3 linked regions of the Saccharomyces cerevisiae S288C genome follow. The protein of the gene in region 2 interacts with the protein of the main gene of each other region in a biochemical or structural test. Each region holds a gene or a part of one and is shown on either strand. Other genes may lie near its edges.

Region 1 (3,540 bases), on a different chromosome or scaffold from region 2:
TAATCCCGTGATGTTTATGCAAGATAGCGAATTCATGTAGATCGCGCCATGCTGTCTTTGCTTTTGTTGGGACCATATTGATACTATATCTATGATTAGGATCTTTTCGTCCCCCGTAGTACAATTCACCAACTTTTGCAGCGCTACCGAAGGTTTAAAATCACTTTCAATGATGTGCAAGAACCCTAGTTTACTCTCCTGCTCTTCACTAATTAGGTTTCTTAATTCATTTGGTAGGTTTATATAGTTCTTGGTTGATGTGATGAAGTTTGACAAAGGATAAATTCTAATGTTCTTTAAAACTTCCATCCCATTCCATTCGCTACTTCCTTTCTCTTTTCCTAAGAATTTTCATTATTAGAAGGAGTAATGCTTACGGTACACATACATACACATATATATATATAAATATATATATATATAAGGACATATACAGATTTTTTTTTTTCGCGTACTAAAGTACAGAACAAAGAAAATAAGAAAAGAAGGCGATCATTGAACTACTGTGACTTGCCAATATGGTCTAAAAATTTGTCAATTTCACCTGAAGAACCCAACCAAATAGAAGATTTGTCATGGATATGACTTGGCACCAAATCCAAGATTCTCTCTCCGCGATCGTTGACCGCTTTTCCCCCTGCTTGTTCCATTAAGAAAGCCATTGGGAAGGCCTCATAAAGCAACCTCAGTTTTCCGTTGGGGCTCTTCTTGTCGCAAGGGTATGCGAAAAGGCCACCGTAAAGAAACGTCCTGTGAACATCAGCAACCATGGATCCAACATACCTAGCCGAGAAAGGCTTGTTGTTGTTGTCTGCTTGGGGTTGTTTGACTTTCTCAATAAATGTTCTTATAGTCTCGTTCCAGTAGAGGGTGTTACCTTCATTAATTGAGTAGATGGCCTTTTGAGGCGGAATTCTTAAGTTAGGATGAGTCAAGATGAATTCGCCCAAGTTTGTGTCTAAGGTAAACCCATCAACTCCATCACCCAATGTCAATACTAGATGCGTAGAGGATCCGTACATGGCATAGCAAGCGGCTACCATTTCTTTACCACATCTCAGTACGTCGTTTATAGTACCTGATGAGTCTGGTAGCAGTCTGAATATAGACGCGATAGTTCCAACGGAGACACCGGCGTCCAAATTTGAGGAGCCATCAATAGGATCACAACACACTGCGTATGAGCCCGTGTTTGTGGGAAAAACGATCAAGTCTTCCTGTTCTTCAGATACAAGGACCTTGATGATCCCACTAGCCCTCATGGCATTGATAAATATTTCATCACCTAGAACGTCCAACTTCTTTTGCTGGTCACCAGTGAAGTTGGAAGCGCCTGCTAACCCAACCAAGTTAACCAATTCAGCACGTCTGATGGTGTGAGATACAAATTTGAACGCGAATTGCAAGGCATTCAGTACTAATGTGAAATCACCAGTAGCGTTCTTAAATTGCTTCTGGTGCTCGATTATGAATCTAGGAAGAGTGATGATATCGGTATCAAACCCTTCGGTAGAGTCTCTTCTTGGTCCATTTACTAGAGTTGGCATATGTGTGGTAGTATGAGGGATGTTTCTTATATGTTCGCACTGTTATTCTTAGGCCTATCATACAAAAAGCAAGATCAAGACAAAATACACGTCTGTAATTGCACTACTTGTTGCTCCATATATATACGTACATTTGTTAGCGAGTGAAATGGATAATATTGCCTATACATAGGACGATCCTTATAATATAGTGTGGGGAAGATGCCACAAGTTGGCAAGCGACAGGAAGAAACCAAGCAAACCAAAAAAAAAGTAGTGGGTATTGGCCAGTTCGGCAATCTTCGCCTTCAAATTCCCTGTCTCAACTTTTTAAGCTTTCTTGATATGTGGGAATACCAGGCTATTGCTGCCTTGCGTTGGCTCTTACGCCCTTAACATTACCTAGCTTTACTACATAATGAGCTTTCGGGCCCGCATAACTCCGGGTGTCCGCACGACCGCGACTACTAAGAATAATAATAATACCCCGGAGGTGAATTCAAAAGCGGCGATTCCATCCGTCCGGAAAAGAGAGCAGAAGTTAGCCCGGGACCATGCAGTTTGATGGGTTGTCTATCTTAGACTGGAAAATTCGAAGAACTCATCCTTGTTAGCTCAGTTGGTAGAGCGTTCGGCTTTTAAGCGCATTTGCTTAAGCAAGGATACCGAAATGTCAGGGGTTCGAGCCCCCTATGAGGAGTTCTTTACTTTTTTTTTATCAACTTCCTTTGCTTCACGCCTATTATAAATTTAGATCGCGTATGATATTGTTAATCGGCGGTTAGAATTTATAAAAATCGACGATTTTCTAGGAATTATTTGCGCATACATATATATAGTTATTTAGCTCTATACAGGTGTAAGAAGGCGTTGATAAAACTATGGTAACAAAATAAAAAAATAGAGGGAGGGGTGTGGCTAAATGCGATTTTTTTTTTCTTTGGATATTATTTTCATTTTATATTCACATCAAATCAGAAAATCCTGGAACGAGGTTCTTAGTAAACCCACCTTCCTTGGCGGCAGCTTCGTAGTAGCCGTAGATGGTGGTAGTAGCCATCAAAATGGATGCCCCAGAACCTAAAGTACCTAGTAGGTCGGAGCCAACAGAAAGAGCACCGATGGTAGCACCGCCGAAAGCAGCAGCAGTTGGAATGATCTTCTTCAATTCTCTGTAAATGGAGGTTTCTCTCTTACCGTTAATGACCATGCCTTGATCTTTGAATTGTTTGGCAATGTCACGTGGGGAAGTGCCGGAGATTTCGATCCATGTCTTGGAAAATACTGCGCATGAACCAAGAACAAATGTGATGTAGACGATGGTCTTGATAGGGTCCAGAAGAGCTTCGGATAAAGACATTAATGGTTGGATGTAGTAGGCCAACCCGCTCAAGGCCATTTGAGGGCCCTGGGTGCCCGGCCTGATACCCCAAACACCGATCAAACGAATCAATGGATTGGTTGGGTATTTCTGGAAAAGGATTTGAGAGATCAAGAAAATGTTAGAAGTCAATGCACTCTGCAACATGATTGGGGTGTTGGAAGTATAAAAGAGTTTGATGGGGTAGATACCAATTTGACCTCTCACTTTGGTTGACCTGATGGGCAATTCGTAACGGAAGCCTTGTAAATATAAAACAAAGAGGAAGATGGCCACGGTCATCAACACTTGGAACATATTAGGTAGATTGGTACGGTAAAAGGCCTCGACAAGGGCTCTTTTCTTGTCCTTTCTGACAGCCAAAAGATGGAAAAAGGCAATCACAGCACCTTCGAACTCCTTACCACGACCGGAATTGACTGTAGTAGGAGCAAACGCTCTCCAGAAAATTTGTTCGGCAATATTGGTTGCCGTGAACAGAGAAATACCGGAACCCAAGCCGTAACCCTTAGATAGCAATTCGTCTAATAACATCACAATCAGCGATGCAAACATCAATTGAAAGATTAACAACAAACAGATGGGCAATCCGAGGTCCGAAGGGGCACCGTAGTTACCTGTCATGACGACCAC
Region 2 (4,710 bases):
GTTTCGGTGGACTTCTAGTCAAACTTTGATGTACATTATCATTTGGGCAAGTTTCATACCATTTTATGGTATTCTTGGATTTTTCTTCAATGCGTTCGGTTTAAAGCATAAGTTTGAAATGTTCTTATTGGCCATTTGGTATGGATTATCACTAGGTGGCCTGTCCGCGGTTTCAAGATCAGTTTTCAGTTTGATTGTACCTCCAGGAAAAGAATCCACGTTTTTTAGTATGTTCAGTATCACAGATAAGGGGTCGTCCATCCTGGGACCCTTCCTTGTTGGACTGCTTACCGATAAAACGCATAATATTCGCTATTCGTTTTATTTCTTCTTTTTGCTTTTGATGCTATCATTGCCTGTGCTAAACTGTTTGGATGTCAAGAGAGGTAGAAGAGAGGCTGAAGAACTCAGTCAAGTTTTACCTGAAAGTGAAAGAAGGTTGGATTAGTTCTTTTTTTTTTTTTGTTACATAAAACTTTGCTTACGTATATATATAAGGTGGAGTATTAATTTCTTGAAATTTTCCAGATTTTTATCTTACCGTCATCACCGCCAGAAGCAAACATTTCTTTATCTGCAGGGTTTGATGCAACTACGTTACAATTTTTCCCCATGGGTTTTGTGGAATTACTCATTACCGTGGAATGACCGGATAAAACAGATACTAGGTTACCTCTAATTCTATCCCAAATGTAAATTTTACCATCTTCTGATCCGCTCATGACAAGCTTATTACCGTAGGCGAAGCAAGATCTGATAATAAAGTGCTGTTGCTTCTGTCCAAAGTACTTTTGTATGAGAATATTTTCTTTATAGTCCCACATTTGTAATTCGTTATCTTGAAGGCTAACTAATACCAAATGTTGAGACTCGGATATTTGTTGCCTATGGAAGCCTTGATGCGTGGTATTTAGCGGTAATGAGATACAAGTCATGTTTTTGCCCACGTCCAATCTTGCGATCCTTGGAATCAGAAAGTTTTTGGGATCCACTGTTTGCTTAGATAGCTCCTCTTTGGAGGGGAACCCACTGAAATCGTAGACATCTATAACGCCCTGGTGGGTCATTAAAAGCACGTATTTATCGTCATAGCTGATTTTCACGTCGTGCACACGTGGAAAGGTTTCGTCGTCCTCCACATATTGCCAGTTACCATTGCTACTTGTTGGTTTGTAAAGGACTTTTGCAGGATCGATTGATTTTCTCCCAGAGATGTTTTCATCGTGGCCCAACGCGATACAAGTCCTGCCTTTTAAGCTAAAAAGTGACTCTTTCGTGGTGAGTGAGTGTACAATAGCTTCTCTGTCGGGCGATCCAACCACCATCCAGCCCGCACGTTCCGCAGTGTGGAAGGCATCGCAGCACCATACTCTTGATTGATTAGAATTCGCGTTTGCCGGCCTCGAGGAAGATGATGCTGATGATTCGGTATCATCTGGGTACGTGGTGGTGTCCAGTTTAAACGAGTCCATGGGCGAGAGCCTGGTAGAAGGGTATAGTAGGAACGAGTCTGTGGCAGACGCATCGGGCAGGGAGGTGGCATTCATGTCGTAAATGGTAACATCTTCGCTGAAAGGGCAAGCAACCAGATACCGGCTATCAGGAGAAAACATGAGGTACAATACGGATTGTGACAAGCTCACGCAAGTCTTATAAATTTTGAAGTCTTGTTCCACATCATAAACAGTAATGAAGTAGCCTCTTGAAGACTCGGAAGTCGCAGAAGCCAAATACTTGCCATTGGGCGAAAATGTCAAAAACCAAATTTCGTCTGTGGTGTCTTGGATAGTCTTCCATTCTTGAAAGGTCACAGTCAGATCGTGTGAGAAGTTATCCTGCAAAAGGTTGATCCGGTGGGGTGGAGAGGAGAAAGAGGCGTCATCATCCGGATCGATGATATTAAAAATGTCTTGTGATTGTTGATACTTGATGGCCTGTTTCAAGAGATGCAAGAGACGACCCTTGGGAACGAGTTCGTTCGGATCGATATATTTGGAGATGGCGTCAATCAGATGGTCTCGCTCGAGGTTCAACTGCGCGGTTAGTTTTGGGTTGGTCAGGTACGTCGACAGTTCTCTCAAGGTCGTTTCCGGATTGAAGATGTTTTCTTCATTTAGGAACTGATCGTTAGACACCAGCAGGGAATCCCATATCTCGATGAAGTTTTTGAGGATTTTGCGCAAATACAGGACGGGCAGTGCAGTGTGAGGGCCCTTGTGAGAGGCGGAATTTGTGACTGGATGGAAGAATTCGAGGAATATTTGTCTATTAACTAGAATCATGATCTCTACGTAATTTCTGAGCGTGGCGATCTCTGCGTCCGAACAAGTAGATGAATTTACAGAGCTCATCAGCTGTTGCAGGTATTGCAGTTGCAGGAGCATGTGGTCGAAAAGTGAAGTCGTGGCGGGCGTCGGCGTGGGAATGAGCAGCCTTTGAAGCCATTCGGACCTTAGCGGAGAGCTATGGGCAAGGGGCAGCGAGCAAACAATCTGCCAATTAATAAGATGGAATTGGCCGGTCTTGATGAGTTTGAAGAAAGTCTGGATGTGGTTAGACTCATTTTGATATCCGCCGCTCTCTAGCAGTAACTGGTTAGCGGCGGAGTCGTAGCCCAGCTCCTTTAGAGTATGTATCAGTAATTTAGTGAGCTGTTTCTTGTCAAAACAACCAACGGAAGAGGGCGAGGCTGTTTCCTCCGTGTCATTGTTCAACACGTATGCGATCTTATTAGTGTGTGACATTTTATTAGTTGAAGTAGTACGCCCCCTTGGAAGTGTTTTTCATATTTGACTTCCAAAAATGATAAAGGAAGACCTAGCAAGGCATTTATTGTTCTTCATTTTCCCTTAAAAACCAAAGGCCCGTTTCCGATGATATTGTTCATTAATGTGAGAAAATCATACATACATACATACGTTCTTATACGGTATTGTATAAGAATGTATGTATATACACTGAAAATATACATATATATATATATATATAAAGGAGAGAAGATGGTAAGTACGGTGGGATACGTACACAAACCAAAAAAATGTAAAAAGATCATGCTACAAGCGCACACAAGGCGGCACCCACTCCGGAACCATCCTTGGCAATCTTCAAGTGCACCTTCCTCTCACCCTCGGCACCCAAGGGTGACAAGGCTAAGGCGTGTCTCAGCATAGATCTGAAACCGGGGTAGTATTCCACAACGGAACCATCACAACCGATCTCGACTTCACCATGATATCTCTTGTTCAAAGCATTTGTCTTGATCAATATCGCGGCAAGCGGCACGGCGGCTAAATACGCAGATCTCCTAGAAATCGCGCGCACCAATTTTTGAATTTGAACACGCTCTGTTGGAGTGGTGGGCAGTCTGAGACTCTGTAATAATGACAACTCTGTTTCACGTAGACCTGTCGAGTCGTCAATTTCAATATGCGACAGCACTTCGGATGACAACTGGAAAGGTGTAGTCAAGTGGCGAGGAAGTTGTTCCTTGGACCTGTACTGTTGCAAAAGCAAGCCTTGCGAGTGCAAGTCCACTAAAATGTTACGCAACACCTCACCCAAGAACATCCCTGAGACACGTTTTTCAAACAAGTGAAATCCCGGGTTCGTTGACAGTTTCTGGTCAATTACGACGTCATACTTAGTAGTAGGCAAGTGCTTGAGCTCATTATCGAAGGACCCCCATTCGACATTGATGATCATGTGTGTCTTACCCTCCTTTATCAACTTGTCACGCAACTCCTGTGGCAACTTCGTGATCTTGTTGATCTCCTCCATATAGCACCCATTGGTACCGGTACCGAAAATACATCCGATGACCGGCTCCGAGATTTCTCCGGACGTCATTGAGTCCGTGTTATCGGACGTGTAGCAATGCGATAGGTACGTTCCGACGGTGTCGTTGGTTAATGCAACAACCTTGATCATAGGCATACCCTGAGCGCTTAATTGCTCCTGGTACAATTGCACGACATCCTTTCCGACGGTGTCCGCGATGCGGAAACCCTTGGTCCAACGGATCAATGTCCCGGAGTTTAGAGAGGTCTGGTCTACAGGGTATGAGAAAGTGAACCCCAGTTTCATGGGCTTGGCGTCTTTACCCTTGGCCAACTCGTCCGGGTGATACTTCTTCATAAAGGCCAGTGTACGACGTGCTAGAAACCCAAACAGGTCGTCAGATGTGACGTTCTCATCGTCTAGCAAATCATCGGGAATCTTGGACTTCATTTGCTCCATGGAGAAAGTATGATCTCCATGCAAGTTAACAGAACATATACGGAAATTGGTACCACCCAGGTCGGCGGCTAGTAAAACACCGCGCTCCGTCCCGTTGGGTGACCCGGTGACGAACGCCGGAATCATAGGAAGACCTTTGTCCGAGGCCAATGTGTGGCCTTCCTTTGGTGGAGCTAGACCTTTTTCCATTTGTTCGATGAAGTAAGCAGTTAATTCGTCCAGCTTCTCGGGGGTAACCTCGAAATCGTCGCAGATCTGGTCCACGGCCTGGATGACCGCTCTCTCAGTGGCTTTGTGTAAGTCGTCGAATGACATCTTGTGTATGATAGAGTTGTATTAGTGGTGGTGTTGTGGTTTACGGAAGCTGAGTTGGGCACTGATGGGGGGGTTGGGGGTTCTGTTGATAGCGGATATTTATATGGGCGCGTTTTCATTAGTGCCCACCGTTTGAGCGTGGTGTGACACCACGCCCAA
Region 3 (4,333 bases), on a different chromosome or scaffold from region 2:
TCACCATAGCAGCGATGATTCAACAAAAAATGCAAAGAAGCGAAATTCTAAAAAGTTAACCACGATTAAGAGTTTAGACTTTATAGTTTTACCTCCGATACTTGTCATTCATTTATCAAGGTTCTATTATGATTTAACAAAAAAAAACAGCACTGTAATAACCTACCCTTTGATATTGAACATTATTTTAAAGAACGGTAAAGTGATTCGATACAAGTTATATGGAACGGTGAATCATTCCGGTAACCTTATCAATGGACACTATACTTCTGTTGTGAACAAAGAAAAGAGCCATGAAATTGGACTGAATAGACAAGTTTGGGTTACATTTGATGACGATTATATACAGCAACATCGCAAGGATCGCAACAACTTTGAAGCCGGCAAAACAGAAATGTCTAGCGATGAGGTATACGTCTTATTCTACGAAAGAATGGATGAAGAGAACTATGAAGAAGAATTCTGTTAATTGCATCGGATTTTTGAATTTTCCTTATGTATATACATAAATATGTTTGAAAGATTAATTAGAAAAACATGTGCTTGTTGATCCAGTTTCAGTTATTAAAAAAAAGCTGAAATGGGAAGAGAAAAAATTGACAAAATAATATATTACGAACATTTATGATGTCGAAATAATTCTAATTCTTTTTTTTTTTTTTGGATTGAACATATCGAACGAACATGTTTCGTTTACTCGAATTGAGGACCAGCGGCTAATACATCTGGTGTGGCTCTGTCTTGATAAATCTTGAAATTTTGAACAAACAAGTTGGCCAAGTTGGTAACTGCACCTCTGTATTTGGATTCACCTTGAGACCAGTTTTTAGCAGGATTCAAAAGCTCAGCTGGAACACCGTTAACCTTGGTAGGTACTTGAAGATTGAAAATCGGTAAAGTTTCGTACGTTTCATTGGCTAACGAACCATCATGAATAGAATCCAGAATGGCCCTTGTGTACTTCAATGGGCAACGTTTACCACCAGATACGTAGGAAGAACCAGTCCAGCCGGTGTTGATTAAGTACGCATTAGCTTTATGTTGAGACATCTTTGTAGCTAACATGGTTGCGTATCTAATAGGGTGCAAGGCTAGGAAGGGTTGTCCGAAACAAGATGAAAATGTTGGTTCAGGTTCAGTGACACCTTGCTCAGTACCAGCCATTTTAGAAGTGTAACCAGAGATGAAATGGTACATGACTTGTTCAGGAGTCAATTTAGATACTGGTGGTAAAACACCCGAAGCATCACAAGTTAGCAGGATAATGTTCTTTGGATGAGAGTCCGCCAAACATGGAATCTTGGCACTTGGAATGTAGTCAATTGGGTAGGCACATCTAGTATTTTCAGTAATAGAAGAGTCGTCATAGTCGACTACATGCGACTTCTCGTCATAGATAACGTTTTCTAATACAGAACCAAACTTGATAGCGTCGAAAATTTCAGGCTCCTTTTCGGCAGATAAATTAATACACTTGGCGTAACAACCACCTTCGATATTGAAGACACCATGGTCGGACCAACAATGTTCATCATCGCCGATCAACAATCTATGTGGGTCTGCGGATAAAGTGGTTTTCCCGGTACCACTTAGGCCAAAGAATAAAGTAACGTCACCGTTTTGAATACCCTGGTTGGCGGAAGAGTGCAAAGTTAAAACGTTATGGTGCACAGGCATCAAGTAAAACATAACTGTGAAAATACCTTTTTTCATTTCACCGGCGTATTCGGTACCTAAAATGATCATTTCCATTGCTTTGAAGTTAATTTCTATAGTACTCTTTGAAGACATATCCTGGGTGTGTAAATTGGCTGGGAACTGACCAGCGTTCCAGACAGTAAAATCAGGTTCTCCAAAATGGGCTAATTCTTCTTCTGTAGGTCTAATAAGCATATTTGTCATGAATAAAGCGTGGTAAGCCCTGGCACAAACAACGCGGACTTTGATTCTGTATTTTGGATCCCATCCTGCAAATGCATCGACAATATAAATGTGGTCTCTTGTTCTCAAGTAATCTGCAGCTCTTTCACGGTTGATAGACCATGTTCTTTCAGAACATGGTTTATTGACCGGACCCCACCAAATTTCGTCTTTCGAGGTAGGTTCTTCAACAATACGTTTGTCCTTTGGAGATCTTCCGGTTTTAACACCGGAATAAGCGATCAATGCACCGCTTGATGAAATGACAGTTTTATTTTCTTTTAGACCATCTTCATACAAAACGGCAGCTGGAGCATTGCGTCTGATGGTGGTGACTTCGTCACTAAGAGCCAATTCTTGTCTGATTTTTTGTTCAACTTCGGAAGTAGATCCTACTGTAGCATTCATTTTAGAAGGGGACATGTTGTTATTTTATTATGGAATAATTAGTTGCGTGAGTTTGGTTTTTTTTTTTTATTTTTGAGTTAAACAAATATAATTATTGTTTAAGCTGAAATAAAGATATATATGTATATCTGGGAAAGGCTGTTGGTTATCTGTCTTACTTCTGTATATTTAAGAAGTAAGTAGAAATACTGATTACACATGGAAGAGAAGTTACACACATTACAAAGACTTCTCTGCCCTTATATACCTTTTTTTTGTGGTCTTCTATACTCTGCCCAATGTTGCTATCCCCAGCCAAGCCTTACTTAATACACAAACGTACCATTGTCCAACCAGAAGCGTCTAAGCTTTACAATCCTGTTTGGGCCCTTTATCCGCCTATCCATAATGTTAAGCAGCCTAAAACTTGCTAGTCTAGCCGGCATCTTTCCCTTGTATAACTTAAAATACCCGGAGCTTCAGTGATATGTAGAACACAGCCGCGCCGGATGAAAGGAAGCTCGGTTTTTTCCTATTGTGAGTCAAAAAAAGAAAAGAGATGTATCCAAATTAGGAAATCCAGATCTCCATTCACCCGTCAGCGTCCCGATATTCTCCGGTGGATCGTGTGGGATATTCCGATTTTTTCCGACAAGGCCCTGGGTGGGGGCTCTGCCCAAGTGCTCTGGTCAGAATTGTATGGAAGTCAGTTGGTTATATGCATATAAAAGTATATATTAAAATTAAAGTGTTATTTATGGCGGTGAGTAGAATTGGTGTTGTTGTAAATGTACGTACAACGAACGATCAGTCTGTACACAGATGGCGCTGTTCGCCAAGTTTTGTGCACAAAGAAAACACAAATCGTGTGCTTAGCGTTTTTATTTCTTTTTCTTCTGCTTTTTTCTTCATGGCGTCGTCGTCAGATATCAGAACTACGTAGTTAAAGCGGCGAGGGGAAAGACGCGGTTCGCTGGCACTCTCTAGTTTTTCTTGCGCCTTCATTACGGATTCGATGACAAACTCGTCGACATGTGTCCTCCATGTTATTTGTTCTTCAAATTCTAAGTTCTCTTCGATGTGTGTCGCTACATTACCTGTGAATCTTAGGGGTAATACTTTATTCTCATAGTAAAGCTGCCTTATAGTTATTATACCTCTTGTGGCAGCCTCCATGACGTTTTCGTCCTTTGACTTTCGTAAAAATCTCAGCTCTTGGAATGTGGTTAAACAAATGGCAAATCTTAGCAGTCTGTTTTGAGCTAGCTTGAATATGCGTGCGGAATGTCTTAGCCAAGAAGTTGCATCAAAGACAAAGTATGTAGTTTTAAAATCTATTTCTGGATAATCAGATTTTATACATTCCAGAAATAGACCTTCATTTTCCTTTTCGCTGTTATAATTGATGTTGTCCTCTATGTTAGTGTTGTTGCTGTTCGGGACATACCATGTAGTGTAAAGCGAGGCGCTTAAAAATTCTCCATTTTTATCGAAGCACGTATAATCGGCACGAAGTTTCTTGTAGCCAACATAGTGGAAGATATTATCGCCCTCGTTGACACTTAGTTCCGGCACAGCGTGCAGATCAGTGTTGTTTTCACTTCTTGCCTCAGATATGTCAATAATACTTTCCAGGGCACCTAATACTGGTATATTGTTGTGTATATTGCACAAGGGTTCGAGTTTGAAGACTAAACTTCCCAATATATTAGTATTTTGAAATGATGAACGATATATCAACGGATCGTTTCTGATTATTACGCCTATTGGAAAACTTCTTGACAGCTCTCTAAAAAGAAATATGGTTCTGCATGCCCTTTTCCAGAATTTTTCACCATTTTCGTCCTTTTCATCAAATATAATTCCATCTGTCGGCGAATCCAATGCCATATAATCTTTTATACCGATTTCTTGAAAATTATCTTCACTACTAATCGAATGCGTATTCTTTTCGCAAATTGTGTCAAACCACAATGTTCCCCAACAGCCCAAAATTTCTGGTAATTCTTCGCCTTCATTGAATAAT

Evidence for each region.
Region 1: of the proteins of GID7 (region 2) and FBP1, one has a biochemical effect on the other in vitro, tested with the Saccharomyces cerevisiae proteins (one study listed by BioGRID).
Region 3: of the proteins of GID7 (region 2) and PCK1, one has a biochemical effect on the other in vitro, tested with the Saccharomyces cerevisiae proteins (one study listed by BioGRID).

The regions. Positions count from the first base shown.
Region 1 is NC_001144.5:873,246-876,785, forward strand, and holds FBP1 (fructose 1,6-bisphosphate 1-phosphatase), read right to left. Parts: upstream 1,548-3,540; coding exon 501-1,547; downstream 1-500. Other genes in the region: PSY3 (Psy3p), read right to left, coding at 1-309; translocon subunit SEC61, read right to left, coding at 2,491-3,540.
Region 2 is NC_001135.5:50,679-55,388, reverse strand, and holds GID7 (glucose-induced degradation complex subunit GID7), read right to left. Parts: upstream 2,745-4,710; coding exon 507-2,744; downstream 1-506. Other genes in the region: ATG22 (Atg22p), read left to right, coding at 1-448; GLK1 (glucokinase), read right to left, coding at 3,049-4,551; YCL042W (uncharacterized protein), read right to left, coding at 4,446-4,710.
Region 3 is NC_001143.9:629,162-633,494, reverse strand, and holds PCK1 (phosphoenolpyruvate carboxykinase PCK1), read right to left. Parts: upstream 2,344-4,333; coding exon 694-2,343; downstream 1-693. Other genes in the region: ubiquitin-specific protease UBP11, read left to right, coding at 1-469; ESL2 (Esl2p), read right to left, coding at 3,115-4,333.